Elephas maximus indicus: one gene and its partners. The main gene of each other region encodes a partner of the protein of the gene in region 3 in a complex. Links are inferred from orthologs where the notes say so. Each region holds a gene or a part of one and is shown on either strand. Other genes may lie near its edges.

Region 1 (7,827 bases), on a different chromosome or scaffold from region 3:
TCTAGTACCTGGTTAATTAGCTCACTCTCCCTCTGAAGCAAATATCACCATCCCTCATACATATAAAAGAATTCCAGCTCAGAGGCCAGTGACTTGCCCAAGGTCTCTCCTCCCTGGACTAAATGGAATGCTGGGCCTGGACACCATGTCTACTTGCCCACTCTCTCCAATACCCCTGGCTGCTTTTGGGACCTGCAGTAACAACTACCTCAACAGCGACAGATGGAAACAACACACAAGCTCAGCAACAGGGTTTGGCTGAAGTTGCTGAGGCAGAACTATCTGGAATATTCTGTAGGTTTTTAGAGGGAAAGTCAGACGGGGGAACAACATGAGAATGTGTCTATGGGCACAGCATTAAATGAAAACTGGTGTTAGGGCACACACCAGAGGAAGGAATAGAGTCAGGAAGAGACTGGCAGGAAACTTCAAAATGCTAGCAGTCACCCCGTCAGGTGAAGAAAGAGGGAATGATTTTTGTTTTCTAAACTTTCTGTAGTGCTATTTTGTCACTTTCTCACTTCAGGATATTAGTCCATGAGTAGTTTTCTTGTAGTGAACCTGCTTCCCTGGGACCTGCCTGCCCTCCCGCTCTGGCCTTGGTGTTTTGGACCTCGACAAATGACGCCTGCCTCTTCTGCAGTGGGACAGCCTCTGGGACGCAGAACAGCCCCCAGACAAGAAAGGAGATGACCAGTGCTCGCTCCCTACCTCCTCTTTCCCAGGCCAAATACTCTGTTCTTCGGGAACTGGGTGTCAAGCCTTCAAAATCCCTCAAAAGATGGAACCCAGAACTGGATCCAGGCCGTCCTTCCAATCAGGACACGCTGACAGGTCAGGCCACCTGGCGACTTTTGGGGCAACCACGTCACTGTGGGATCTCAGGCCTCAGCCCCTGCCGGAGCTAGTTTGGAGAAAGCTAGAACTCTGCCCCTTCCCCAACACTTGCTGTGGGACACTGTGGTGGCTCAGCCTCTCTGGGCCCAGTGCCCTTTGCAGTGGTGCTGGAGGACATCTTTCTTGTCCTCAACCCAATGCAGAGACAACAGCAGCCACTTCAGAGCGGGCAGAAGGCACCAAGTTCACCTAGAAAAAACACTTCCCTGCACACATGCTAGCCTAAAGCTAGATTCCTTTCCACAAAGGCCTTGGGTCCCTGGGCCTCATCCTCACAGCCCAGAGTAGGTAAAAAAGCGCCCAACCACATCCAGCCCCAGCCCCAGCCCCTCAGGCTGGAAAAGGAAGTCGGGTAAGCGGAGCCTCACAGGCCCAGGACAGCTGGGGCCTCTCTACTGAGCACATCAGGGCAACAGGAAAAAACTCTAAACCAAGGGCAGGGGTCTTGAGCAGGACAAAACTGTCAGCAGTCCTAAGGAGGCCCAGACACAGCTCAGCATCTTCCAGGGGACAACCCACCTCCCTCTCGGAGCAAGAGGATCAGTCCACACTCCTAACCTCACTCTCGTTGCCTCTGCCTTGTGCCTGCTGCAGATACACCACGGCAGACACTGGAACCCCCAGGGTGTGGGGGGAGCTTGGAACAGACCCTGCAGGTGTCCCTACCCTGACAATGCTCCCATGCCAAGGGTGTAGGGCACTGCCAGTGGTCACAGGGCTCCCACATTCTCCATCCTGGTCCCATTCATATTCTGAACTTGAACAAGCTCCTGTGCCAGCTGGGCTGAGGAGGAAGGGGGAGAGGGAGAGCTGGGTCTGGACTAACCACTAGGCTGCTGCAGTTCAGGGCTAGGGGCTAGAATCCAGGCATTCTCGCCTTGCCACACAGGTGCCCACCTGCATCCCCTGCATCCCACCAGTGGGACCCAGCCTCAGACACCAAGGGGAAATCCCATGGGCAGTGCTGATGGTGCCTGAGCCCAGACCCAGGCAGAACTGGGGCCGGAAGCCCTCTCCCTTCTCTTGGGCCTCTGCCAGGGAGCACATGCTCACCCCACATGGTCCCTCCTGGGCCAGGGTGGGGACCTGCATCCCTGATGCATGAAGGCATCTGCCTGACTCCCCTCCAACCCCAGCAGCCCAGCTCCACAGAACAGTGGATGAGACGACAGCTGGCCTAACTCTTCAAGAGTCCTGGGGGAGCAACCTCCCCCTTTGAGCCTCAGTTCCCTGGTCTACAAAATGGGCGGGGAACTGAACCCCCAGTTAAGCTCCAAAGATCTGGTGGCTGGACACGCCCCTTCCTGACACCTGGCCTGGGCCCTGCAGAGAATGGGCTGACCAGGCTGTCAGGAGGTAGGGGCATGGTGTCACCTTCATCCAGGAGTGAGGCCTGCCCAGTTTCCCCACCCAAGGGTCAGAGGTCCCTTGGCTTAGACACAGTCATCTGGGAGGCTGAGAGAAACAGGTTCAGTCCCAGGACCTGGGCCTCTGGCAGGGCTCAGGGGAGCTAGCAGGGCCTCAGTGAGGGAAAGGTCAGACCCAGACAGGCCAAGACACTTGCAGGGAGGTCTGGGCAGGGAAGGGGCACTTCCAGAAATGCAGCCCATTCTCCAGGCCCTGGACCACGTCGGCCCTCTCCCTCCAGGCTCCAGCCACCCCTCACTCTTGAGCTTCACACAAGGGGACCTCAGGGTGCCCTGGGGCAAGTCTGCGGGGCTTGCTGAGCAGTGCCTCCTTCGAGTATTCCCCTCCTAATCCGGTTCTGACAGTGACTCCCGGGAGAGTTCGAACTCGGGAAGGAGGGAGTAAGGCAGTGGGGGATGGGAGTGGTCACGACGGCGGTGTAAAGAGAAGCAGGACGTGCGACCTCCCTCCTCCTCCTTCCTCTGGGGGACACAGACGCTGGCCTTCTCCTGGGCTGCAGGGCACTCACCTCTCTCGGGGCACTGAAGTCCGAGCCACCTCGCCGCGGGCGGCATCAGCGGCCTGCGGGACGGTCCATGCGGCCAGAGGGGAGGGAAGGGGCGCAGGGACCCCCGGGGGGTGCGATGCAAAGAAGTATAGGTGCGGAAAGAGGGGGAGGAGGGACGGCCACACCGAGGCAGGGGGATGGCCGCGCGGCCCGGGGCGGAGAGGGAAGAAAGGCGGGGGAAGGGGGGCGGGAGGGAGTCGGGGGGAGGAAACAATGTAGCCGGCGCGGCCCCAGCAGAGTTCCGCTTCCGAACGCCGCCGCCACGGCTCGGTTTTGGAACGTCGCGCCCGCTGCCGGGGGCCGTCCCGGACACTCGATCGGGGGCCGCGGGGGCTGCCCGCGCGCGCTCCACGCCCCGGAGCCTCAGGCGGCCACAGGCTGGCTAGGCGGGAGGGACGGCTGACCAGGGGACGGCCCCGACGGTGGCGCGGCCGGGAGATCGGCCCGCTCGGGCTCCACCCCAGCAGGACCCCAGGGCAGGGCGCGGGGTGGGGCGGGAGCGGGAGGGCGGCGACGGTCTCGGTGGCGGCGCCCAAGCTCGGCTCGCCCAGGGCTCCGCTGGGAGGAAGCTCGCAGGCCTGGCGAGAGGAAGCGCGGCCCGGATCCTCCGCCCGCGGCAGCGCGCCTGCGCGAGGGGGCCTGCCCGGTGCGCGGCGGGGCGTGGGCTGGCGAGGCGGCGCCCCCTATCGGGCGCCGGGGGCACTGCGGGGGGTGTGTCTGCGCCCACGCCCTGCCCCCACCTGCCTGTCTGCGTTGGAGGCGCCTAAAGGCCCCTCCCAGAGGGCCGACCACCCGGCCTTGGAACAAGTTCTGAACCTTCTCCGGGCCTAGCTCCACCAGCGTAGAAGCGGTGGAGGCTGGGCCTGGATCCTTCTGGAGTCAGCCCGCGCAGAGTGGGCCTCATTCGCAGCAGCAAGCATTCGTTCACACGTTCACGAACGCTTCCTGGCGCCAACAACCTGCCAGGCCATTTTCAGGGGTCTAGTAAGACCCCTTCACTGCTGTCAAGGATGGAGAGACTGACAGGCCAAAAGACAATAGCAAAGAACTAATTGATAAAAGTGGGGAGGTGATGTACAAGGTCCACAGGAAGCAGACAAGAAGGGAGGGCTAATGGGGGACTTCACTGAGCCTAGGACGCCAGGCAGAGAGAACGGTGTGGACAAAGGCAGGGAGAGGTGGGAGAGTGGTGGCTTCTGGGAAATATAAATAGCTCCGTATGGCTGCAGCTTGCAGTGTGGGTTAAAGGCGGTAGTGGGAGACTAGGTCTTGGGGCAGCAGGGGCAAGAGAGATTACAGAGAGTCTTGTGGGACTTTCTGAGACTTTATTTTCAGCCTGGAGCAATGAGGAAGTTGTTAGTAGCTGTGTGACCTTAGGCAAGCTGCTTAAAGTCTCTGTGATTTCAGTTTCCCCGTTTCATCAAATGGGGAAAATAATAGCAGCAACTTCTTAGGGCTTTCTGGGGGAGGAAATGAGTTAATGCGTTTCAAGTGCTTAGTGTGCAGTTGCTGGAACATGGTGAGCCTTCAGTTAAGTGTTGGCTGTTATTATATATCACTGTTAATGAGAAGCAGGCAGGTGATCTGCTCAGAGCCACAGACCAGACAGCTTGTGCTGGGGTGAGAGGTGGTGGGGGGAGCGCAGCGATGGGGACACCAGAGATGCTAGTGTAGGTAGGAGGAGTCAGGGCACCCCTAGGGACTGGGCCATAAAGAAAGGGTCAGGCTTGGGTTGGCAGAGAAGAGGGGGCATTCCTGGGAGTAGGGGGAAGCGGTGAAGCTTGCTGGCAAATTCTTGGAATCTGAAATAAGTATGAAGGGGCAGAAAGAGTGTGAGGGACAGTAAAAGGTCCTTTGGGACAGAGAAATGGGGAGAACAGTATCTGCAGATTGCAAAGAGTCTTGAATGCCTGGAGTAGGAACGGTGTGTGCCCCTCAGATACACTACGGGTTGTCCCTCTGACCCACTGCATCCTGGGGCCAGCATCTCAGCAAGGGGCCGCCTCTATGGGGAGGAAAGCAGTAGAAACACCTTTGTGCTTTGAGGAGACATCCAGTTAGTCTGGCATAGTTGTGGTATAATGGAAAAAAGTATGAGTTTTGGGTTCAAATCTCAGGATTAAATCTTGGCTCAGCCACCTACTAGCCGTGTGACCTTGGACTAGTTACCTAAGGTCTCTGAGCTCAGTTTCCTCTTCTGTCAGACCAGGCTTAAAGTGTACCTCTCTCACATACCTCTCTTTGGAGAGATGGTGCAGATTCAGCAAGATAAAGGCCTGGGGATGGGAGGGTGGGGAGAGAGCTTAGCAGGTTGGTTTCCCTTTCTTTCCTTTGAGGTTGAGGTCTAGACGGAATGACAATGGGGGGCTGGTTGGGGTGGGTGGAGTTTCTCTCAGCCATGGACAGGAAAGCTCTTCCGCAGCTCTGCAAAAGTTTCTAGAAGGGAGAATTGAGATCTCCTTCCCCTCCTCTGGTTTAGCTACCAGGATGGGAAAGAAAGGACTGTTGGGATTTGTGGAAAATGCCCTGTTCCACACGGGCTTTGTCACTCACCCATCTCCATCCCCTGGCCCCAAACACACTTGACTCTTTTCCTTGCATGTGCTGTGGCCAAGAGTGTGGACTTTGGAGTCAAATAGACCTGCATTTGAATCCTGGCTCCAACTCTCCACAGCAGTGTGAACTAAAAATTTTAACCTCTCTGAACTCCAGGCATGGGGATAAAACCAGGAGCAAATCAGTCATGGCCTCGTCCCGCAGAGCTCCCTTTCTTTTAGTGGGAGAGTCAGACAATTAGCCTCCAACCTCGTTTCTCATCATTTATTCATTCAACAAAAATTTACTGAGCACCTACTAAGTGCTGGAACCCTGGTGGTACAGTGGTTAAGAGCTCAGCTGCTAACCAAAAGGTCGGCAGTTCGAATCCACCAACTGCTCCTTAGAAACCGTATTGGGCAGTTCTCCTGTGTCCTATAGGGTCACTCTGAGTCAGATTCAACTCTGGAGCAACAGGTTTACCAAGTGCTAGGCACTGTCCCAGATGCTGGAGATGGAGTGAACAAGACTTCCATGGTTCCTACCCTAGGGAATAAATAAATAAACAGGGTCATTTGGCCCTGTAGTATGAAGGAAGTGAGCATGTGAGGGACTATGGAGAGGTGAGGCTTTGAGCTCTGCTTTCAGACCAGGAAAGGATTGAGCCAGCCTTTTTTTTTGGGGGTGAGTGAAGGAGGGCGCTTCAGGCATAGGCAACCCAAACCCATTGTCATCGAGTTGATTCCAACTCATAGTGACCCTATGGGGTAGAGTAGAACTGTCCCATAAGGTTTCCTAGGCTGTGATCCTTATGGAAGCAAACTGCCACATCTTTCTCCCTTGGAGTGGCTAGTGGGTTAGATCTGCTGACCTTTCGGTTGGCAGCTGAGCAGACACTTAACCACTGTGCCACCGGGGCTCCTGGCAAAGGTTAAAGACCTGAGCTAGGAAAGGGCCCTGGGGCTTGAAGGACAGCCAGAGGGTGGCCTCAGATAGCAGGGGAGGATGGAAGAGAGGAAGTAAGGAAGCCGACAGGGGCCAGATCCAGAGCCTGCACTCCAGAGATTTTTTTAGGTGAGTTTGGGTTTGATTACGTGAGCAGTGCAGGAAGCTGTTGAAGGACTTTAAGCAGGGGGGTGACATAATCGGAAGCATTTTTTTTTAATTTGCATTATTTCTTAGAGATTAGATCAAATTAAAACAAAATTATTTTATTATTTTTCTTGTTGAAAATAAAAAAAATTTTTTTTTTTTTGAAAATACACACGGTAAAAATATACCAATTCTACTTACCAGGAAGAAAAAATGAAGTCTTGATATATGCTGCAATATGGATGGAGCTGGAAGACATTATGCTGAGTGAAATAAGTCAATCACAAATGACAAATATTCTATGGCCTCACTTACACAAAAAGACAAGAAAACGCAAATGTATAGAGAACAAAGTTTATTAGTGGTTACCATGGGCAGAAGGGAGGTGAAATGGGGGTCAATAGTGATGAAAAAATCACGTTGATTAAGGGTAGGGGTGCAGAGCTGACTATTATAATTGTTGTCATTAAGTTGTACACCTACAAAAAGCTGAATTGGCAAAATTTGTGTGATAGATTTATTTACAACGATGACCCAAAAATAAATAAATAAATACATAAATAAGAGTAGCTGCTGAGGCTGCTTAAGTACAACCAAAAACCTCATGGGATTTGGTTCCTTGGTTTGAAGGTTTAGTGTCACGGTTTCATGGGATATCCCAGTTAATTGGCCTAATGTGTTTAGTGCTTCTGTTCTACCTCCTAGTTTGTTGCATGGTGCCATAGGGTCTTAAAAGCTTGCAGATGGCCATCCAAGGCACAACAATTGGTTTCTATTCACCTGGAACAGCAGAGGAAAAAGGGAGTCAGGAATAGAAGGAGGATATGGAATGTGTGGCTATTTGCCTCCATGAACAACTGCCTCCTTTGCCATGAGACCAGAAGAACTAGATGGTGCCCAGCTACCATTAGTGCACATTTTGATCAAAGATTCCACAGAAGAATCCTGATCAAAAGGGGGAAAATACAGAACAGAATTTCAAAGTCTCATGGACTCCAGACTTCCTGGAGCCATGAAGGTTGGATGAACCCCTGAAACTATTGCCCTGAGATAATCTTCAAACTTTATACCGAAAATATCCCCTGAAGTCTTCTTAAAGCCAAAAAATAACCCAAACCAAACCTGCTGTTGTCAAGTCGATTCCGACTCATAACGACCCTATAGGACAGAATAGAACTGCCCCATAGAGTACCCAAGGCTGAAATCTTTACGGATTTCTCCTATAGAGTAGCTGGTGAGTTTGAACTGCTGACCTTTCGTTTAGCAGGTGAGCGCTTTAACCACTATGCCTCCAGGGCTCCTAAAAACAGTAGTTTAGCTTAACTAGT
Region 2 (7,969 bases), on a different chromosome or scaffold from region 3:
GAGAGATCATACCCTTCCTCAGTGTCAGACCCTCAGCCTCAGACCTTCTGGTTTTATGTTTCTTATAGTCAAAGGCATCCTCAACTGATGCAAATTTCACAGTGAACTCAGAAGCGCTTGTGCCAAGGTTGGACTGTCATCCCAATAGCACCACCAATCTCAACAGCCTCCCTGGGCTCAGTTTTCCCATATACCTGGGGTGAGAGGTTCCACAGGTAGAACTAGAGAAAGGAAGAATGAAACCCTTTGCAACAGGGGTAAGGGTAAATCCTTTGCAAGAGGGTAAAAAGATAACTGTGCTGGTTAAGATCATGTGATTTGGTGTCAGGCAGACTTGGGTCCAAAACCCAGCTCTCCTGCTTACTGTCCATGAGGCCTTGAATGAGTTGCATAGACCCTTTTTTTTTAATTGTATTGTGCTTTAAGTGAAAGTTTACAGTGCAAATTAGTTTCTCATTCAAACATTTATACACAAATTGTTTTGTGACATTGGTTGCAATGTGTCAGCATTCTCCCCCTTTCCCTTTATACCCGGGTTCCCCATGCCCATTTGTCCAGTTTTCAAGCCCCTTCCTGCTTTCTTGCCTTCACTTTTGGGCAGGCATTCCCCATTTGGTCTCACACACTAAATTGAACTAAGAAACACTATCTAGTGCTGTTATAACAGAAATACCACAAGTGGGTGGCTTTAACAAAGACAAATTTATTCTCTCACAGTCTAAAAAAACACTATCTAGTGCTGTTATAACAGAAATACCACAAGTGGGTGTCTTTAACAAAGACAAATTTATTCTCTCACAGTCTAGGAGGCTAAAAATTCGAGTTCAGGGTGCCAGCTCCAGGGAATGGCCTTCTCTTTCTGTGGGGGAAGGTCCTTGTCATCCATCTTCTCTGGTCAAGGAGCTTCTCAGTGCAGGAACCCTGGGTCCAAAATACGCACTTTGCTCCTGGCACTACTTTCTTGGTGGTATCAGGTCCCCATGTCTCTCTCCTCGCTTCTCTCTTTTATACCTCAAAAGAGATTGGCTTAAGATACAACGTAATCTTGTAGATTGAGTACTGCCTCATTAACATCGTAGAGGTGGGATTTACAACACACAGGAAAATCACATCAGATGACAAAACAGTGGACAATCACACAATACTGGGAATCATGGCCTAGTCAAGCTGACACAATTTTGGGGGGACACAATTCAATCCGTAACACTTGCGTCTTTGGTTTTCTTCATTCTCCTTTGCTCCAAATGGGATGGGATCAATGGATGTATCTTAGATGGTCGCTCACAAGTTTTTAAGACCCCAGATGCTACTCACCAAAGTAGGATGTAGAGCATTTTCTTTATGAACTATGTTATGTCAATTGATCCAGATATCCCCTGAGACCGTGGCCCCCGGCCCTCAGCCCCAGTAACTCAGTCTCTCAATGTGTTTGGATGTGTCTAGGGAGCTTCTAGGACTTTGCCTTAGTCAAGCTGTATTGACTTTCCCTATATTGTGTATTGTCTTTCCCTTTATCAAAGTTGACTCTTGTCTACTATCTAGTTAGCAATTTCCCCTCCCTACCCTTTCTCTCCCTCGTAACCATCAAAGTTTGTTTTTTTCTGCGTGTAAACCTTTCTTTGAGTTTTATAATAGTGGTCTCATACACTATTTGTCCTTTTGTGATTTACTTATTTCACTCAACATAATGCCCTCCAGATTCATCCACGTTATGAAATGTTTTGCAGATTCATCACTGTTCTTTATCGTTGCATAGTATTCTATTGTATATGCACCATAGTTTGTTTATCCATTCAACTGTTGAAGGACACTTAGGTTGTTTCCATTTTTTTGCTATTGTGAATAATGTTGCAATGAACATGGGGGTGTGCATATGTCTAATTGTGTGATGGCTCTTATTTCTTTAGGATATATTCCTAGTAATGGGATTGCTGGATCATACGGTATTTCTATTTCTAACTTTTTAAGGAGGCACCATATTGTTTTCCATAGTGGTTATATCATTTTACATTCCCACTAGCAGTGCATAAGAGTTCCACATAGACTCTTTAATGACTAGTTTTCTCACCTGTAAAATGAGAATAATAATAGTATGTATCCCATAGAAGCGGGTGAGGGTGTGTGAAAAGCTTAATGATGCACTCCAAAGCTGGAATTAGCTGTTCTAGTCACAAAGCCTTGGGACCAGCAGAAGGGTGTGGGGGGAGGGAAGGAGGAAGACTTCCTTTTAGCAGAGAACTTTGGAGTTCCTCCCATCACTTCCTTCCCCAATTTCTCCAGCCCACAGCCAGCATGGCCATCTGCCCAGGGCTGCCCTGGGTGGACCAGAGCAATTGGGAAAGGAAGACCTCCTGTGTGGTAGACTTGAGCTGGGCTTGAGAGAGGGGAGAACTTGTCCAGGTAAAGAAGTTCAAGGAAGGCATGCCAGAAGGGAGGCACAAAAAATGCAGCAACATTTTGGAGGTAGGAGTGGGAAGGGGGTTTTGGTGAGAGGGAGGAAGCCTGTTTGGAGTAGAAATTTGTCATAAAAGGTTAAGGGAGCAACACCTGGAGAGTCATGGAAGGGAGCCTGGTAGTCAAGTTTTCTGCCAATAAGAGGGTACAAAAGGGCTCTAGTCTGCTTCCAGAACTAGAGACATCACCCCATTTGACAGATGGAAACACTGAGCCCAGGGATGCTGAGTCAGTGGCTTCACAGAGTTAGTGTCACCCAGTGCAGTAACTCATGGTGTAATACCCACCCCCACCGCCATGGATTTCTTCCTGTGCCAGACCATACAAAATCCCTAGTAACGTTTTTTGTACTAATGCTCCTAGTAAATCATAATTCTTGTATATCACTCCTTTTCCTTTAATTACTACTTCATTTTCAAAAAAAGTTACGATACAGGTTTACAGATGCTAATTACAACAATGTTGTAGCTAAAACACCAGGAAATTTGGCCAAATCAGCAACTAGAAAAATACCAGCAGCAATGAAAAAACCAGCACGTGCTTGTAGCATGTGCAGATGAAACCATGTGACTCGAAGGATCATTGTAATTGGGTAATAATGACCGCTCTGACCAAAAGACATTAGAAGGTTCAAAAAGTGAATAATTAGCATAGAGCTTTAGCCTTGTAGGTATATTGATACATGTAAGCTGGGCTTACAAAAAATGTTTTTGCTGTTATAGCTAACTACAGGGATATTGTTATAAAAAATAACAAATTTCTGTTGAGACGCAGCACAAAAATTTTATAAACAGTTATTTTGGTGTCACCTCCTCTGACAGTGTCACTGGGTGTGGTCCATGCCACCTGGGCCCCCCTAATGTTGCCACTGGGCTGAGTCAGTGATGTTAGAGGTGGTGAAACCACTGGATTGAGAAATACAGCCATAGTATATAGCCTTGGGGGTTTAAGGTGATATTTTGCCCCATTAGCTGTCTTCAGCTGAAAGCAACAGAAAACCTGACTTGAGGAGCCTTCACCGCTAAAGACTTTCTTTCATTAGCTCAAACCAGAAGGAGTCTGGAGGTGGGGCGGCGGGGGGCTTCTAGGAGCAGTGCAGCAGCGCCAGCCCCCCTGCTCTGCAATTCTCCCCCACGTCTTCTCTCTCTCTCTTTGAATTAAAATTACTTATGTTCAGAAAAACACTTGAGGAATCATGTGTTCTCTCCCCGGTGGCTGTTTCAGAAGCCTGGGTGGGCCCATCTCCCTAAACCCCAGGCACGCATAACTGGCACTTGGGAGCTTGGCGAGCCTGCTTCTGCTTCAGCTCTCATCTATCTTATCATTCCCGCCAATTGTAAGGGAGATACCAGCAAGGTAGTGATTTGTGGATGGTCCCTGACTCATCCCTTTTTGCCAGGCTGCCCTGCTGGCATCTTCTGCTGAGTGGGCACCTGGCTCCTCAGGGCTCTAGCCCAGGGCTCTTTCCAAGGTGGTACCAGACAGTGCCTCCAACACCTGCCCAACCGAACCAGAAATTCCACAAGTGTTCTCAATGCCATCCCCTTTCCAAAGGCTGGGGGTGGCAGATGGGGAAACTGAGACTCAGAGAGTTGGAGGGTTTATTGAAGTCCCTCAGCCACTGAAGTGTGTAGTGCCCAAGCCAAACAAAACCCGGAGCCTCAACCTCAGTTTTCAAACTCCCGCCTCCGTCTCTCTCTCAGTTCAACCATGTTCACGAAGCCTTAAGGCTCCACCTCCAGAGTGGGCCTCCCTGGCCCACAGTGTCTAATCTGGAGACTTGGGGGCAGTGCCTGTGAGGTCGCAGGCTGTTCTTCCTTGGCTAGATGCCCACTCATCCCCACCTCTATGTTCCTACAGCCCCCCAGAGTACAGCTGTGTCTGCCCTGAGAATGTGAGCTCCTTGAGGGCAGGACCTGGTCTGGGGCACAGAGCAAAGTTTGATGAAGGATAGATGTCCAGGCCTAGATGACACCCTCCTGAATAGATTCCTGCTGAGGAGTAAAGAGTCTAGCATTTTTGTGCTGGCCTGGCAGGGAGTGGATCTGGCTGGACTGGTGGGAGACAGAACCTGAAGTTCCTGGGCTCTTCTTGCCCACGCCTTTAGTGGGCCCCAAGCTCTAAAAGGAGTCCTGGTGGAGCAATGGTTAAGCACTCAGCTGCTAACCAAAAGATTCGCAGTTTGAATTCACCCAGAGGCTCCTCGGGAGAAAGACCTGGCAATCTGCCCCTGTAAAGATTAGAAAACCCTCTGGGGCAGCTCTACTCTGTCACTTGGGTTTACTATGAGTTAAAAATTGATTCAATGGCACCTAACAACAACAACAAGCTCCCTAAATGTATGGCTTCTGAGAATGTCCCTGCCCCTTCTCAGGTTGAGACACCCCAGCAGGGGGCCGCCACTAAAGGGCAAGCAGAGGCAAGCAGGGAGAGTGGCAGGTGGCAGGCAGGGCTGCATAGAAGAGCACAGCGGCTCCACTTCCTGTGAATGAAGGCCCTAGTGCCTGCCCCAGGGGAGGTTGCACAAACCTTCCTGTGCAGGCCTCAGGCTGCCTGCCTCCCTGGCCTGAGTCCCAGCCTGCCTCTCTCAAGAGCCGCTGCCTCCTGCCTGGGGCTGGCATCTCCTCTCCCTGCCCTGGAACTGGGCTGTGTTCTCTATCACCCGCTGGGCTGGAGAGGGGCTGGGCCGGACACCGGGGCCCGCCCTCTCATCACTGGGCATTGCTCCTTCCTCATTTTGCTGCGGATTCTAGCCCCAAACAAAACAGGTTGAGCCCTTTCCCTCCCTTCAGCAGTTCTGGCTTGCAGCTGCCTTCTGAGCTGCTGCAGACGGTGACAGCCGGGGAGAGGGGCTTGGGCCAGCCCTGCCGACACTGGGCACTGGACAGTGCTCCTTGCTCTTGGCCCTCAGACGGCCCTGCCTGGGGCAGGAGAGCTTGATTTGCCACAGTAGAGCCCAAGGATGATGCCCCAGCTGCACTTCAGAGATGCCTTTTGGGTGAGTGAAGGCTGGGGGCGCGGGGGAGGGCATTGAGAGAGTGGAATAGGCTCTGGGGAAGCTGAAATTTTCCATGGAAGTTGGAGGGGGATATAGCTCCCAGATGCAGGCTGTCTCATAAAAGTAGTGATTGATATACAACTTTGTCATGGAGGTGGTCTAGGCTACTTTCCCTTCTGAGCTGGAAGGCGAAGGGGGTACTGACTTCCCTGCAACTTCACCACCATGGGCAAGGGATGTCCTCTGCACTTCCAGGACTGGTTTTTCCTCTGAGAGACCCCTCCCCCACAGCAGGACCTTTTTAGGAGAGTCTAGCATGCGTTTTTTTTTTTTTTAGCATGCAGGTGGGGGCTTGAGGAGGCCATGTGGGGTGGAGGAGAGGGTGTCAGGTTCGGGCACCAGAAAAACTTGGTTCATACCTTGGCTCTGCAATTGTAGGTGTCTGAGCCCCACCTTCCCCATCTATACAGTGAAGATTGAAAAAAAAAAATTTTTTTTTTTTTTTTTAGTGAAGATAGATAATAATAATAAATATATCAAATGAACGGGAGGATTAAACAAGGTGAACTAATGTAATAATGCCCCCAGAATGTTGCTGGCACACCAAATGGTAATTCTCCTTCCCTCACCCAACACCTTTTCGTTTGGAGACCTTGGGGGTCTTTCAAGGTAGCAGGATGGGCTGGGCAATTCCTTGCTCGCAGTATTAAATCCAGCACAGGCCTGAAGAGTCCTCCTTCCCTCCCTGGGAAATAGCTGGCTGGCTCATGGAGGTAAAATGGCTTGGCCCAGGTCACAGGGCTAGTAAGCCCAGTTTGGATCACAGATCCCCTCAGCTTTTTTCCAGCTGTCCTTTAACCATCCCCTCTGCTCCTTAAGCCTGGCTGTCCCCAGGGTGCTCCTTCCAACCCTGCAGAGGGCTCTCTGGTCTTGTTGTGTTCAGCAGGCTCAGCCCCAGCCAACAGCCTGGCCCTCCCCAGGTCCTTTCTTGGGGCCAGGAGCCAGAGAGATGAGAGCTAATAATGAGCCAGGCCTGCCTTCCTTCTCTTTTGGACCACACTCTGCTCAGGGCCGGTGGCCATTGTGTAAGTGGCCTGATCCCACCTTCGTTAACTGCACAGTGGGCAAAAGCTTAGGCTGAGGAGGGCACTCTGCCCCTCTCGGGGCCTCTGTTGCCCCTTCTTCACAAAGAGGGGCTGGGACCAGCCCAGAGGAGCTGGTTGGGCTCATTTTGAACACCAGGGTGTTCTCTGCTGGACTGGCAGCTGGAGCCCCAAGTTGGGGGCTGGGGGTGGGGGCAGAGAGTCACCACGTCATTGCCCTGACTTGGAGTCTAAAGTTAGGGGAAGGGGTAGAGCCTGGAAATGCAGGCCGCCAGCCCAGGCCAGGCTAGGAGACCCTCACTGTTCTGTCCCTGCCCAGAGACCCTGGGCTCATCTTCCCTGGGATAGAACTGAGGCAAGGAGCAGCCCCCATGACAGGATCTGGGTGGGAGGAAGGAGGGGGAGGGGACTTAAAGAAACAGGGTGTGGCAGCAGCAGAAGCAAAAGCAGCAGCAGTGGCGAGAACCCAGCCCATCAGCGGTGGGTTCCTCCTGAGCAGTGGCATCCCATCCATGCTGAGTGCTTACCCCATGTCCGAGTGGCTGTGTACCTCGTGGCCTCCAGGTACCTCTCTCCTCCATGGCTGCTCCCTGGGCTGGGTGAGGCTGAAGCTTTCCCAGGGAAGGCCAGACGGAGAAGGGGAGAGAAGAGGCCAGCAAGAGCCTCTCAGATTCAGCCTGGGCAGACGCCCCAAAGTCACTGTCAGTATCACTTGCCCCAAGAGCTCTGAATTCTAACAGCCCTGGTGATGTTCAGCCCAGCCCAGCCATGACGACAACTAACATTCACTGAGCACCAACGATGTGTCAGGCGCTGTTCTCAGGCCTGTGTATGTATTAATTCATCTAACCTGCACGGCCAGGCAGTGGTGCTTTAGCAGTAGGATTCTCACCTTCCATTGGGAGACCGGGGTTCAAATCCTGGCCAATGAACCTCAAGTACAATGAACCGTCTGTCAGTGGAGCCTTGTGTGCTGCTATGATGCTGAACAGGTTTCAGAGGAGCTTCCAAACTAAGTCCAAACTAAGATGAACTAGGAAGAAAGGCCTGGCAAGCTACTTCCAAAAATAAGCCAATGAAAGCCCTATTGATCACAACTATCTGGTCTGAAACCAGGGGATAGATTACCCAATAAGCAAGGTACACACAGGCTTACTTGTGTTTACTTACTAATCTCCAGTGCACAATTTCACATAGGCTTCACCACAGCAAAGATCTGGTGAAAAAGAGGTGAAATTGTGCACTACAGATTGGCGAGTAAGCACAAGCAAGCCCGTGCATACCTTGTTTGTTGGGTAATCTGTCCCTTGGTAATTATGGGGCTGTTGAAGGACTGGACAGTGTTTCGTTCCATAGTGCATTGGGTTGCCATGAGTCAAGGGCTGACTCTATGGGAGCTAAAAACAATCCTCAC
Region 3 (8,034 bases):
CCTATCAAAGGCTATCACAACTGTAATTAGTAATTAGTTGTTTAATGTTGCCTCTCCAGTTAGAAGACATGCTCCACAAAGCAGGAACATTGTATCGTATTCCTGTATTTGAATGAATGCATGAATACCTTACAGGGGCATTCTGTGGCAGCTTCATCTAGAGAGATTAAATTTAGTCTTGATACAAGAAGACCTAAGCATGCTATTGGCTTCAGCTGTCACACAGGACTGCCACATCTAGTTATGAATGTTGTGCTCTGAATAGAGATACCCGGCCAAGAGGTGTGGGGAGAGTGGGGACTGAAACCTAAGCCACGGACCTGAAGGCAGGGGGTAGAAAAGGTCACAGGGCCACCACCTGGAAGCAGAGGAGCCATTTGGTAATTTGCACAAAGGCACCATCCTTCAGACTAGCAGTAGCCCAGAGTCACAGAGTCAGTTCACAAGCTCCAGAATCATCAAATTCTGGGAGAATATACTAAGGGATTAAGGTGGGATGTGGGATGTGACCAGGTGGAAAACCCTCCAATTTAATGGCAGTATTTACCTTGCTCAAGCAAGCAACCTGGCCCCATTCAACACTCCCTCACTTCCCCAAAGCTACACCCTCTGGTATCTCAGATTAACCTTTAGGTGGGGCTGAGAGCAACACTCTTTTTCCACTGGAGGACATGAGTCAGTGAACAGTGAGGTTCCACTTAATCACCACCCCCAAACAAGGTCCTTAAAATCAGGACCTAGAAAAGCAAGGAAATGATTAATATAAAAGTCAGGATAGTGATTACCCCTTGGGCAGGGCAGGGTGGGGGTAGGGACCTGATGGGAAGGGGATATACAGAGGTCTTCTAGGGTCTGGCAATGCTCTGTTTATTGTCTTGGGTGGTAGTTGCTTTATAATTAGTCAATATACTGTACTTCTTTTACGTACTTCTCTAAATGTGTTAGTACATTTCACAATTTTAAACAAAAAAAAGACAAACTAGGGAAAAAATGATCAGATTTGTATTATTAAAAGATCACTTGGGTGTTGAATGGAAAATTGATTGAAGTGGGGCAAGACCAGAGGCAGAGAAACCAATTACGAGGCAGCTGTCATAATTTGGGTGAGAGATTATAATGACCCGAGATAAGAAAGGAGCCCTGGTGGTGCAGTGGTTAAAGCACTCAGATGCTAGCCAAAAGGTTGGCAGTTCAAACCCACCAGCCATTCCACAGGCAAAAGATGTGGCAGTCTTCTTCCATAAAGATTTACAGCCTTGGAAACGCTATGGGGCAGTTCTACTCTGTCCTATAGGGTCGCTTCGAGTCAGAATCAACTCAACAGCATTGGATTCTGTTTAGTTTTTGGAGATAAGAAAAGGTAAAATATCAGGGATATAGTTTACATTATTTAAAAAAAACACAACCAGAATAAAACAGAAGTTGCCCCTCACTTTTTACCTCTCTGCTTTGGGTGAATTTGGCTTAGGAGTTATAGGCCAGAGGCAGGCACGTTTCTAAAGAGACACATAGGCTAGGATGTCCTCCTTACCTCCCTCCCTTCAGACTGACTTCAGACAGGCTTCAGACTGACCGGACCATGGCACTGAGAGCACTTTTTTCATGATACCACAATATTATCTGAGTTGAACTGGTCTCTGTCGTAATATTAACCACTCAATCATAATAGCTAATCACTCAAGTCTTTACAGAGTGTTTTTACATTACTGTGGTGGACCAGAGAGCTAGCTCCATGAGGACAAAGAGTTTTGTTTGTTTTGTTGACTGCTGTATCCTCAGTGCCTAGCACTGTGCTTGGTACATAGTAGGTGCTCTATAAACACCACTGAATAAATGGCCATATTTAATTATTATTGCTGTTAAATCTTCACAACAATCCTGTGAGGGTAGGAAAGACTAAACTAGTATCCTCATTTTATAAATTTGAAACAAAGGCTCGGGAAGATTAAGGAACACGTCAAATAGTCTAGAATTTAGTTGGCAAAAGAATCATGATTTAATTCTAGGTTTTGTGCTTCGGTTCCCTTGTTTTTTCCACTTCTTCTTCACAGCTGAAGATCGAAGGTCTGAAGTTATTACAGCTCTGAAACACCAGCTGGAAGTATTCCAAAATACATGATAGGTACTCGCAGATACCCTATTTGATCTGATGTACTTGGTTATAGGATCAATAAGGCCTATCCAGCTGATCACTGCAGCAATAACCACAGTTCCCTCAAAGGAGATGCAGTGTTGCTCTGGGTAATCAAATCCAGTTGACCCTAGGCTGCCTCGTACTCAATATTTCTCTCCATTCCCTTCACTTGCTCCTACTCTCCATCCTAGCCTTTCACATCTCCAAGCAAAAGAAGGTTAAGGAAACCCTGTTATTGCAAAAACGTATGTTCTAATATTTTTTTCTTCACCAAAAAGAAAAGTGATGAGGCAGCAGGTAATTTTGGTGCTTTTAAAAAAAAATTATGTCATCCAAATGGAATCCCAAGGGGAGGATAAAAATGTTCATTGAGCCATGAAAAGCTAGTCTTGGTCTCTTTCCTCTTAATATAAAATAAAATTAGTAATTTGAATCATTAACCACAACTTAGATACCTGGGGAACTCTGTATGTTCAATTATATTAGTATTTATTCCACTGGAACTGTGTATGTCTTCTGTAGGATTCCTAGTCAAGTGTCAAGAAATAGCAAACAAAATATCAAAGTCAGTATTTTGGAGAGAACACCTAACATACATACAAACTGCTGAGGGAAGTCAAACGTTTAGGTTGCCTTCCTTCCCTCCTGCCTGTCTGAGGTCTAATATTCATTTTAATCCAAGAGCAATTTGGTCTAGGAGAGTTGGACCATCAGAGTCAGTTAAATAGCCTATGTAACTACCATGAGAGTGTTACACACAGGACTCACCAGAAATTCATTGGCAAACTCCTCTTTCTTAATTTTCTTATCTTGGTTCTCATGCAGGAACTTCTGCAGAATTTCTCTTTGGTCCATGCTGCAGAGCAAGAGAGACAATCTATGAATAGGTTGAAGGAGGGCATGTCAAATGTGTGTCATGGCTAAGACACCACCGAGAAGCCACTGCCGCCTCCTGAGCAGAGTATGCTGAAGGCTGTGGTTTACTGACTTCATCACAAGCCCTAGAGGAAATTAGTGCGTAACCAGCCTCTGTGGTCACACAACAAAACCATCATCTCACGGCAGGGCCCTAGCGCCTTCGTTTTCAACAAAGGAGCCTGGTTACAATTCAAGTTTTTAACAAACAAGAGACTAACCAGAAAATAATGTGTGGTCTGCTTAGCTCTGAGACTGTTCCAGTCTACATTTAAGCAAAATTCACCTCTCTTCTTGCTTCACAGAGAAAAGGCAGAGTTAGAGGTCTCATGGTTTCTGCCTCTCTCCATCTCACCAGTGAGCACAAAGGCCCTGGTGTCACCTTCTATATCCTCCATTTCCAAATGAACTCTGCTTCAGTTAGGCCCAGAAAGGGAGACGGACACTTTTAGAGTCACTCAACTTTTGCGGGGAGTCTTTCTCCAAAGGTTTCTTGCCAATATGATCAGGGGCAAACTTCTGTTCATCAGAGAAGGCATTTTTTTCAGAGTATTTATTCTTAAGTTCCCCCAATAGACCTCAAACTCTCTTTGGAATGAAGCAAAGTCAGCTGCTTCTGACAGTCTATACCTCTCGCAGGACTGGGGAAGTGCTGACCTCCATTAAGGGAAGTGTGGATTTCAGGACCTCCCCCACCCCCAGGAGCCTTATGAGCTTCACTTGGATGTAAAGACTGAAAGTATTGGCCAATAAGGATTCAGAGCACAGTGACCCCCAGCAGGAGCACTGACCCAGCAATGGCATACTATCCCCCCGTTAGTAAAAAAAAAAGTAAGGCTGATTTAACTGAGGGAACAGAAAAAAAGTAAAAACAATCACCTTGCTGGCAGCAATATAACTTTCACGGTGGAAAGCCTGTTTCTAGAGAAGACATTTCTACTCTGCAGCCAGTGTCTTGGAAAAGGCCTTTGTTTCAGGAGGTCATGCCGTGCATGTGGCAATTCAGCCCTGTCTGACAGGCAAGTTGTTCCAGAAAAGGCTTCTACATCTCAGTTTGCCTAAGTTCTTTTTTCAGTGGGTACAGATCTGTCCAAGAGTGTCTAAATTAGTGCGAGAGCACCCAGAAATCAGCACATCATCTCTGTTTCGGGTAGAAGTTCAATAAAGAATATGTTAACAACATTGTTGTCGTTGTGTGCGGTCAAGTCGACTTTGGACTCATAGCGACCCTATAGGACAGAGTAGAACAGCCCCACAGGGTTTCCAAGGAGCAGCTGGTGGATTTGAACTGTCCATCGTTTGATGAGCAGCCTGAGCTCTTAACCTCTGCACTACCAGGGCTCCCCAAGAGTGTCTAAATCGGTGTGAGAACACCCAGAAACGAGCACATCATTTCTGTGTGGGTGTAGAAGTTCACTAAAGAATATGTTAACAACATCCTGAAGAAAACTGGGAAATGTATCATTAGGCCTTCCTTATGTATTTTCTTTTTTTTTATGTAAATATTAGCAATCCTTTCTGTTTTGCAACATTGTTCAAATTTCCTTTAGGAAGTCCTGATTCTGGACGCTATTAAGCTGCTTTCATTTTATTGAGCCCTACAATAGGAAAAAGAAAGGTCATTGATATAGCGTGGTTATAGGCAACTTGAAGCCAATATTCCAAATAAAGAATTTCAATACTGAGCCATGTAAATTAAAGTGGACCATAATGCTTCAGCAATATTTGTTGGAATAGAATCACATTTCTCAAATTAACCCCACTAGCCTTAAAGGAGAGTATCTCTCTGCTCTAAACAATGCAGTGTTTGATCTGGTTATTTTTAAACATATAAAATAGAGGGAAAGGTTTACATTTTAAAAAATACAAAATTTAAAGCTCACAATAACTATAATCATGTAAAAGTATATACTGTACATAGTTAAACAGAAACTAAAAGTTGCAAAAAATCAATTGTATGTGTGTGCTGGGATTAAGGGTGATTTTTAAAAACTTTCTTATACCACTTTTTAAATTAAAACATACACACATGCAAAAAAAAAAAACTATTAATTCATTCTTATTGAGTATCCACTAAATTCTAAACACTGTGTTAGGGGCTGGGCATACAATAGTGAACAAGCCAGAATATGGTTAAAAAACATACACACTAAACCAGTTAATAAAGCATTTCAGAACTAAAGAAATAGACTTAATTATTGATAAAAATAAAAATATTCCAAACTAACTTTCTTGTTTGCCAAGTAGCAAAGTATAACCCTAGAAGGAAATGATTCTGTTTTGAACAAATAAAAGATACAGTTTCATAATCTCTGTGTCCCCTTAGAATGTCCTCACTTCCATCAAAACCAGAACTTAAATAATTACAGATGCTTCATAAGATGAAATTTAAATCAATTTTCCTCAAGCCCCTATTTCAGAACAATCTCAATGTTATCGTCTCTTCTTAGGGAGGGAAGAGGTAGAGATAGATATGAGATAAGAAAGAAAAAATTGCTTAGATGTCATCCATCGCTCTTTTACCCCAAAGCTCAGGATCTGAAAATAGAGTCTTTGCCGAACTGTATCTCTTTTTTAAAAGCAAGCAGCAAGACTTAGGAGTCTGTTCCATTGTAAAACCAAAAGGCATAGAAACATCGTGAAATAACTAAACCTCAAAAACTCACTTAGCTGCAAGGCCATTTCCTGAGCAGACCACTCAAGTGAGCAAAAAACAACCTGAAGGAGAAAACAAAAACACTTCAGTTTTATTTTGAACAAATCTAAGCCTACTGCTTAATCTTTCACACTTCCTTCTACAGATACTGGAGGGCAATAGGAACAGATTGTGTTGACTCATTTGTATCTTGTGGGACAATCAAGAGTTGGGGAGGGGAACAAGTCATGCACCAAAGGTTGGCAAATACATAATTTAAGAATTTACAATGAAACATTTAAACCAGTCTGGCGTAAACCCTAAGTGAACACAACAATTCCATGCAGTAAAAGACACCGTATCAGAACCATCAAAGGTGAGCTCTAGTAGGAAGTAAAATTCTGAATAAGCGCCTGAAGCGGAGTGAGTGAAGAATTAGGGACCACTCACAGCTGCCTCACACGTCTCTGGTGTTTGTTCAGAAGGAAGATGATAACGGGTGTTGATCATACTGTCACCTGCTCCAACAAGAAGAGAATGTGCCAGTTGAAGGGAGAAACATCAATATCATGGAGATCAGGAATTAGAGGACCATAAACTTTAATCAGAGACTATCAGGGGATATTATTAGGGCAAGATAAACTGCTCAGTAGGAAAGACATTATTTCTCAGAACATCTTTCTCTCTGTGAAGAGGCGTGGGTTACCCTGGAGAAGCCATTTACTCAGTCTTAGCTTTACTTTCACTCCTCTTGCCTTTCTCTGCATCCCAGGGTCATTGATTTGATGTGGGCTATTTTTGTGTGTGTGTGTGTGTGTGTACTACTATCTGTGAAACACTCAGTCTTTTTTTTTTTTTTTTTTTTTTAACACTCTGTCCTTTGTAAACATCCTGTTGGTCACTGCCCTGCTGCTGCTATAACAGAAATACCACAAGTGGGTACCTTTAACACACAGAAATTAATTTTCCCACAGGCGAGGAGGCTCTAGGGGAAGCCTCTTTGTCTCTGTCGGCTTGAGGGGAAGGTCTTTGTTTCTTTTCAGCTTCCGTTTCTTGACTCCTTGGTGACCTTCATGTGGCATGGCATCTATGTTCTCCCATCTCTGCTCACTTGCTTAACCTGCTCTTTCATATCTCAAAAGAGATTGACTTACAACACACTCTACACTAATACTGTCTCATTAATACAACAAAGAAACTCCATTCCCATATGGCATTATAACCACAGGTATAGGAGTTAGGATTTAAAACACATATTTTGGGGGGATACAATTCAATTTATAACAGCCACCAAAGTCTATTGGTTCTTTCTCCTCCATGTCTTTTAGTTTCAACCTACCTTTTCCATTTCTGTGTTAACCATTCCCATTTTCGCATCTGGATTCCTGCAGCCATAAGCTCTTAGTTGGTCTCGTACCTCTCTCTCTCCCATTTCAGTGTCTCCTTGTAACCAGGGCTGGATGAAACTTCTTAAAACTCCACTTTAATGTTAAAAAACCAAAATGCCTGCTCATAGTCTATGGGAACAAGCCCAGATACCTCAACTTGTTACCAAGCCACTTCTAATCAAATGTCCTGATCCAACCTCTCCAACCACATCACCCACAAATCTTGTTGATTACACTACCACTTCTTTTACTACTTCTCACTGTTTCCTTTAATTTTCATCAAGATAAATAACCTTCTTTCATAAAGGCCGGTTACCCCTTTCTTCAGAAATCCTCTTATAACAATTTCACCATGACCTTCTCTTATTCTGAATCCCTTCAATATAAATCTTTATATTCAGATCTGGAAGCTTTCTAATTTTTTTTTTACATGTTCCTTGCATCTCATAAGTTTATGTAATCATGAGACCCATTATACATTCCAAAGTAGACAAAATTGCCTCCTGTAAGCTTATCAAAGGCAATGATAGTATCTTCTATGTTTTAGCATAACCCACAGTGTTTAACCTGGTCTTGAGCATCCCTAAGATACTTAGAAAAAGTCTGTTGTGATCAAATATATTACATAATATGGCTAGGCTTTGGTGAGAGATTCACTGACTCGGTAACTCACTACATTAATTATTTCAGATCTCTTGCCTGGCACAGTCTATGCTTCTAGTCTCTGGCTAGGTACTTCCACTGTGCTAGAAGCAGATGGATCTTACCTGCAGGGAGACCCAGGAACCTGGCAAAGAGTACTTCCCTGAGTGCTTCTGCCCAAGCAGCAAGGCTATTATTGTAAAAGGAGTAAACCAAGGTATGGTGCTGTGACTAAGGTGCAGGGTCCAGCCCCAGAGGGCTGTAATGGCCAGAGAGAAATGACATTCTTTATCTCCAGAATTGGCCAGTGTTTCTCCTTT

The links.
Region 1: the proteins of PTPN22 (region 3) and CSK are in contact, whole or in part, in an NMR structure (PDB 1JEG), measured with the Mus musculus proteins. The link is inferred for Elephas maximus indicus from reciprocal best matches to the Homo sapiens genes PTPN22 and CSK. Residues at the interface, in NP_033005.1 of Mus musculus: Pro614, Pro615, Leu616, Pro617, Glu618, Arg619, Thr620, Glu622, Ser623, Phe624, Ile625, Val626, Val627; in NP_001291690.1 of Mus musculus: Phe20, Thr23, Gln26, Ala40, Val41, Thr42, Lys43, Asp44, Asn46, Trp47, Ile59, Pro61, Asn63, Tyr64.
Region 2: the proteins of PTPN22 (region 3) and PSTPIP1 are in contact, whole or in part, in a crystal structure (PDB 7AAM), measured with the Homo sapiens proteins. The link is inferred for Elephas maximus indicus from reciprocal best matches to the Homo sapiens genes PTPN22 and PSTPIP1. Residues at the interface, in NP_057051.4 of Homo sapiens: Ser793, Lys794, Pro795, Gly797, Pro798, Arg799, Asn800, Pro801, Pro802, Trp805, Asn806; in NP_003969.2 of Homo sapiens: Thr225, Arg228, Asn229, Trp232, Asn236, Ser239, Met240, Cys242, Val243, Asp246.

What each region holds. Positions count from the first base shown.
Region 1 is NC_064831.1:64,865,909-64,873,735, reverse strand, and holds the start of CSK (tyrosine-protein kinase CSK), read right to left. Parts: upstream 3,011-7,827; 5' UTR 2,834-3,010; intron 583-2,833; exon of another isoform or gene 1-582. UniProt on the Homo sapiens protein: Non-receptor tyrosine-protein kinase that plays an important role in the regulation of cell growth, differentiation, migration and immune response.
Region 2 is NC_064831.1:66,556,629-66,564,597, reverse strand, and holds the start of PSTPIP1 (proline-serine-threonine phosphatase-interacting protein 1), read left to right. Parts: upstream 1-4,959; 5' UTR 4,960-5,416; coding exon 5,417-5,452; intron 5,453-7,969. UniProt on the Homo sapiens protein: Involved in regulation of the actin cytoskeleton. May regulate WAS actin-bundling activity. Bridges the interaction between ABL1 and PTPN18 leading to ABL1 dephosphorylation.
Region 3 is NC_064821.1:166,860,126-166,868,159, reverse strand, and holds the start of PTPN22 (tyrosine-protein phosphatase non-receptor type 22), read right to left. Parts: upstream 3,079-8,034; 5' UTR 2,990-3,078; coding exon 2,903-2,989; intron 1-2,902. UniProt on the Homo sapiens protein: Acts as a negative regulator of T-cell receptor (TCR) signaling by direct dephosphorylation of the Src family kinases LCK and FYN, ITAMs of the TCRz/CD3 complex, as well as ZAP70, VAV, VCP and other key signaling molecules.